2 linked regions of the Ovis aries genome follow. Each later gene encodes a partner of the first gene's protein in a complex. Links are inferred from orthologs where the notes say so. Each region holds a gene or a part of one and is shown on either strand. Other genes may lie near its edges. The genes, in order: IL1A and S100A13.

What was found.
Region 2: the proteins of IL1A (region 1) and S100A13 are in contact, whole or in part, in an NMR structure (PDB 2L5X), measured with the Homo sapiens proteins. The link is inferred for Ovis aries from reciprocal best matches to the Homo sapiens genes IL1A and S100A13. Residues at the interface, in NP_000566.3 of Homo sapiens: Asn148, Gln150, Tyr151, Thr194, Ala195, Gln196, Asp197, Leu203, Leu204, Lys205, Glu206, Met207, Gly216, Ser217, Glu218, Thr219, Asn220, His239; in NP_001019381.1 of Homo sapiens: Met1, Arg25, Gln26, Glu27, Gly28, Arg29, Lys30, Asp31, Ser34, Asp68, Ser69, Glu70, Lys72, Phe73.

The regions. Positions count from the first base shown.
Region 1 is NC_056056.1:60,205,925-60,209,751, reverse strand, and holds part of IL1A (interleukin-1 alpha), read right to left. Parts: intron 3,324-3,827; exon of another isoform or gene 3,228-3,323; intron 3,043-3,227; coding exon 2,820-3,042; intron 1,209-2,819; coding exon 1,035-1,208; intron 1-1,034. UniProt on the Homo sapiens protein: Cytokine constitutively present intracellularly in nearly all resting non-hematopoietic cells that plays an important role in inflammation and bridges the innate and adaptive immune systems.
Region 2 is NC_056054.1:104,062,033-104,064,513, forward strand, and holds the end of S100A13 (protein S100-A13), read right to left. Parts: intron 998-2,481; coding exon 854-997; 3' UTR 769-853; downstream 1-768. UniProt on the Homo sapiens protein: Plays a role in the export of proteins that lack a signal peptide and are secreted by an alternative pathway. Binds two calcium ions per subunit. Binds one copper ion. Binding of one copper ion does not interfere with calcium binding.

The sequences.
Region 1 (3,827 bases):
AACACAAGATAATTTGTGAATGTCATAGAGTAGAAAGCATATTAGCTGAAATATATCCAATCAGAAATAGCCCTGCTTGTTAGCACAGAGTAACCTCTTTTGATCTCTGAAAATCATTTTGTTTACTGATGACATGTCCTTAAGCTAAAAATATGTGCAACATGGAAGCTGGCTTGGTGTAACAGAATTTCTTGGATCCTAAATTTCATTCTTCAGAACACATGCAAATCTTCCAGTTTTGTTTTTTTTCTTTAAAATTATTGGGTGCTTTGCCTCACAATTATGTTATCAAAGATAAGGACTCTTTCTAGTTTGGTGTTATTAGGAAGTTTGATGAGAAGGCTCCTCATTGGCTTCTGAGTAAATTTGGGTAAGTCATTATATATTTCTGAGACTCAGTTTCCTTACCTTTAAAATATGAGGATAAGAGTGTCTCAGAGAACCAAGGGAGATAATACCTCAGAAAGCTTTCTACTGCACTTAGTGCTTTCAGAGCTAGGACACTTGTTAAAGCTTTCAGATTTGGTTGAAGTTTCTGGCCTAACCCAGAAGTTTTTTTTTTTTTTTTTTAATTAAAATGTGCTTCCTGTGCAAAGCCAGGAATCTAGAGAGGTTTATTCTTTAAAAGCAGAAAGCTTAAAAGAAATGCAGAAATAAAAAGGTGAGGAGAGGGCTTCCCTGGTGGCTCAACGGTAAAAGAATCTGCCTGTGAATGCGAGAGACAAGGGTTCGATCCCTGGTCCGGGAAGATCTCACATGTGGTGGACAACTATTTAGCCACTGCTTGAGAGCCCAGGAACCACAACTATTGAGCCCTTGTGCTGCAGCTGCTGAAGGCTGAGTCCCCCATAACCCCATGCTCTCCAGCAAGAGAAGCTACCATAACGGGAAGCCAGAGCACTGCAACTAGAGGGCAGGCCCTGCTTCCCACAACTAGAGAAAAGCTCCTGCAGCAATGAAGACCCAGCACAGCCAAAAATAAACAAATCAATCTTTTTTTTTAAGATGGGGAGATGACAGAATTGTCCATTTACCTGCCTCCTCCAGATTATTTAATGTAGCAGCCGTCAGGTATGGACCTGACATATCTCGAATTATACTTTGATTGAGGGCGTCGTTCAGGATGCATTCCTGGTGGATGACTCTCATAAAGTTGTATTTCACGTTACTCTGGAAGCTGTAATGTGCTGATCTGGGCTTGATGATTTCTAAAACCATTATCACAAGCTCAGATTAATGTCCAAGTACAAACATGGATGATGTATCTGCTCTAATACAAGCATACAAAGTAGTTATTGAAGGCACCTGAAGAATATCCCAAGGGAGGTGAGGAAATTGACATAGAAGTGAAATCACCCCATCAGCGGAATTGATTCCAGGATTACCCCTGTGGTTACTTAGTCTAAAAACTTTGATTCTTCAGGCAATGGTGGTTGTTGTTTTTTTTAAGAGATCACATGTACAACTTTTTTGGTTGTTTGGAGGTTTGGAAATAACCGGGAAGACTCCTCGTATTCTCCAACTACATTTTCAAATGAATGCACCCTGAGAAAAGAATCCACTAAAAATTTTATATGTCACTGAGGTGCCAGTATAAATGTCTACCATCTTTTTGCTTTAAAAAAGTTTTTTTCGTTTTTTTTTTTTTTTTTTTTCCTATCTACCACCTTTCTGAACGGTGGTATGTTTCGAAGCTTTACAAATCTTCATGGCTCTGAATACTTTTACTTACAGGAATGTTTTATCACTGAGGAAATAAATGATGATAGAAATCAAGATTTATTGATATAGACAGTCATTGTCACATTACATATATTGGTGAAAAACCGGTGCTCTAAAATGTCCTTTATGTATTGATAAATGAGGAAAGCTGCATATTAAATTGCACATGGTTGATCCTAGGAATGTTCTTCATGTTTGTTACTCTGTATGTACACAGAAAAGACTGTAAGGAAAGCAATGTAGTGCTGGCAGTGGTAAACTCTGAGGGGTGGTATGAGTAATTTTAATTTTTTTCCTTGTATTTTCTAATTTTCTAGGTGAACACGTGTGATCAACTGTTACTTTAAAAATATTAGATTTATAATTCACGAAGAGGCTTGTACAGTAAAGGCAAGGGGGAAAACTCATGACATCTATAGTCAGGTAGAACTGATATGATTTGATGCTCTACCCTTACAGACTGTGAGATTTGGGGCAGGTCACTATCTCACTGAGCTTAGTTTCCTCACATATAAAATGAGAGTGCAGAGTTGTTGTGAAGGTTAGAGATAATGCAATCATTAATAAGTTAGTAGTGTTTGTAGTATTAGCAAAAGTAATAACAACAATAATAGCGAACATTTATTAGGTATTTTCTATGTGCCAGGCATTATTTTAGTTCAGAAGTCAGCAAGTGTTGACTCATTTAATCTTCACAACAATTAGGGGCTTGGATTAACTCCATTTACAGTAGAGGAGACCAGAACATAGAAAGGTTAAGTAACTTGCCCAAGACATAACCAGTATGTGGAATAGCATAACCTATAAGTGGTCACTCACTAACAGTATATAATTACTTTCTGCCAATAGGCTAGAAGTCACATGACTTAATCATATGGCCACCAAGTAAGCCTGTGAGCACATATGCTAAGCTCAAGCACTTACTGCTCTCTTCCCTTTGCAGAAGGATAAAAATTAATTTTCATTTCTTATAATTATCAGACAAATGGGTGGTTACCCTCTTGTTACTCTGGTTTTAGGTTTTATTTCCCCCTACACTCTGCTGTCTGCATTTTGTTGAAAACAGAAAACAAGGATATTATTGTTTGACCCCTTACCTTCTTCGGTATCATTGGCAATGGCTTCCAGGTCGTCATCAGTGATGAACTGATTTAAACTCAACCGTCTCTTCTTCAGAATCTTGCCATTGGCTGTCACCATCACCACATTCTCCTTGAAGCTAAGCCTGGATGTCTTGGAGGTTTCCGAGGTATCCAGGGACATAAACTTATTCATGTGGTCCTCACGAAGTGGCTCATAGCTTGCATCATAGAAGGACTTCTGCGATAAAGGAAAATAGGAACTGAGAGGCCAGTGAACAAGACTCCTTTACAGTAGGAGTTTTGTTCAACTGTCTTAGAGAGAAGGGTGGCCATTTTGGCCTTGGCGACCCACGTTCCATCGGTCTTTCCCTCCCCCGACTCTCCTTCCCCCTTTCCTCTGTATGCCTCCCCTTTCCCTCTTACCTCCCACCTCTTCTTTTAGGATTTCCCTCAAACGATGTGATCTTGGCAAGGTTTTTTGTCATCCCTCTTCAGACTCAAAAATGAGACCTTGTTATACTTGGTGAAGTAAGTCAGAGAAAGACAAGTACTATATGATATTACTTACATGTAGAATCTAAAAAGTAATACATGGCTTCCCTGGTGGCCTAGTGGTAAAGAATCCCCCTAACAAGGCAGTTTGGGAAGCTCTCACTTCCTGTGGAGCAATTAAGCCCCTACGCCACAACTGTTGAGCCTGTGCTCTAGTGCCCAGGAACCACAGCTACTGAGCTCACATGCCGCAGCTATTGAAGTCCATGCGCCCTAGGGCCCATGCTCTGCAGCAGGAGAAACCAGCCCATTGAGCAGCCCAAGCACCGCAACAAAGAGTCACCACCGCTTGCTCGCTGCAACTGGAAAAAAGCCCACGCAGCAGTGACCCAGAACAGTCAAACATAAATAAATAGAATTATTTTAAAAATAACTTGAAAAAAATATACAAAGGAGCCCATAAACAGATCAGCAATAGACTCACAGACATAGAAAACAAACTTAATGGCTATCAAAAGGGAGAGGGAAGGT
Region 2 (2,481 bases), on another chromosome or scaffold:
GTGGCGGATAGTATAAACCGCATGCCTCTCCAGCCAAGGATAACAGGGTCCACTGAGAGGATCCCAGTTCATCACAGAGGCTCTGGAATTTCAACCCAGTTTCATCTATTCTTTTTTTATTATTATTATTTATTTGGCTGCACCGGGTCTTAGTTGTGGTACACGGGCTCTTCGACCTTCACTGTGCAGGATCTTTAGTTAACAGCATACGGGATCTAGTCCCCCGACCAGAGATGAAACCCAATTTCTCCACATTGGAAACGCGGCCACTCCACCAGGGAAGTTCCAGTTCCATCTATTCTTGTCTTTGTGACTTAACCTCTCCAAAGTCTGTTTCCACATCTTTGATACAGGACTTAAAAATAGTACTTACCTCAACAGCCTGTGAGAATTAACTAATACAAGAAAATGCTCAGCACCATTCCCGGCACAGACCAAGCCCTCAACACATGTTCACTGCTATCACTACCACCCAAGGACGCAAACCCTGGGAATAAGAAAGTGAAAGCCAGGGCCAAGCCCCAGAGCAGCTGGTGGGATATAAGTCCCCTCACACGTCCCAGAGATCTCACTCTCCCTTTCACATATTCACTCATCAACCATGTATTACTGAGCACCTACCCGTTCAAGACCTGATGGTGCAGAGTATTTGAAGACGAATTATGTTGGTGCTCATAATTTTTGGACTTGCCCTCAGGTGGGGGCAGAGCTTTCCCACCCCCCTGGTCTCAAGAGAAGAAATCAGGATGGGCGTGAATAAGCAACATCTGTGTTTCAAGGAGAAAGCTTTATTTGAAGGGAGTGGGGTTCAACCCAGCCATGCCATGCCGGCCCCCATCCCAACCAGCTGGCTTCACTTCTTCCGGATCTCCAGGGCCTTCTCTTTCCTCATCTCCTTTGCCAGCTCCCCAATCAGCCTCCAGTACTCGCTGAACTTGAGCTCTGAGTCCTGATTCACATCCAAGCTCTTCATCTTCTCATCTAAGGAGCCCACATCCTGAGGAGACACCACAGCAAACAGTGGAGTTAGAAATGACTGTTTTGACACAGGGAGACAGGGAAGAATTGCCAGGCACTGTTCCCGTCCCTCAAAGAGCACGAGGGCTACCCCCACACCTTCTGGATGAAGCTGCAGCCCCAACATGGCACTGCCCAGGTGCCCAACTCCACCAGGCGGAAGCAAAGGATGGAAGTGGGGAACCTCGTTATAGTGTGTGCTGTGATCTAAATACACCCACCATGGGGGATTGTGAACCATAAATGTGATGTCCCTGAACGCAGAGTGGGGAAGAGACGCACAAATGGGCCTTCAACTGCAGGTGCCAGGAGGCTTCAGCACATCACTGCACCAGCCCTGGGATAAGCCCAAGGACACTTGGGGAGCCCTTGTAGGCAGGGACTCCCTCTGACCACCCTCAGAGTCTTCTCAGGGCACCCTCCTCCTTCACAGAAAGTTGGAGGAGTTCACAGCACTTTGCTGCCTGCTTGCATAACCCTAATCCCTTCTCATTCTTCCAGCCGGGTCACTAGCCTGGTAGATCAGGAGAATGGCAAGGACACAAGGTATCTGGTTTTCTAGGGGGTCCTTGGCCAAGTCTCTCCCAGCAGACCTGTGAAATCTAAGGCTATTCTAAGTCGGACCACCGTGATCAAAGGATTTGTTGCCAGATGGATAACCACAGCAGAAAAGTTGACTATTGAATGGCGGACCCATGTCGAACCAGACAAGCATGCCTCAGGCACAGCGCATGCCCAACATCTGAATCAACGTTTGGATGACGGTTAAGAAGGCTTTCCAGATCTATAGACGGCACGAAACTAATTCACAGAAGAGCTCAACAGGCTTTTTTAAAGGCCGCAATCACACTTAACTGCAAAATACTATAAGCACTGCCAGTGGAAAGCAATTGCCAGTGTAACGCGGGGAGGGAGAGGGGAGACATACAATTAGTCAAGAGAAAGAAACAAAAGGTAAAATTGTTAAGAAAGAAGATGTCAACTCACCCCTTGTTATATTAGCAATTATATAATTGTATACCTAGGAAAAACCAAAAAGAGCGATAAAAGCTAACATTTCAATAAGTGTAAGCATTTAATAGTGCTGACTGTTCCAAGCATTATGCTGAACATATTACATGCTTTCCATCATTCAGTCTTCATAATCTGCTAGAATGAAAGGCTCAAGGAGCACAGGGGTCTTGTCCATCTCGTCCACCACCATGATACCAATGCCTGGGAGAGTGTTTGGCATATAGTGGGGGCTTGTTCACTACTATAACCCAAAGCCTAGGACAGTGTCAGAATAGGACATAGTAGGCACTCAGTAAACACTGACTGAATTAATGCAAGACCAGTCCAACAAGAACGGTATTACTACGAGTCCAGTTCACAGATGAGACGTTAAGGCTCAGAAGGATTAAAGGACTCATCACAGATGACAAACTAGACCCTGTATCTGAACCTAGGTTGTCTAACTCAGAG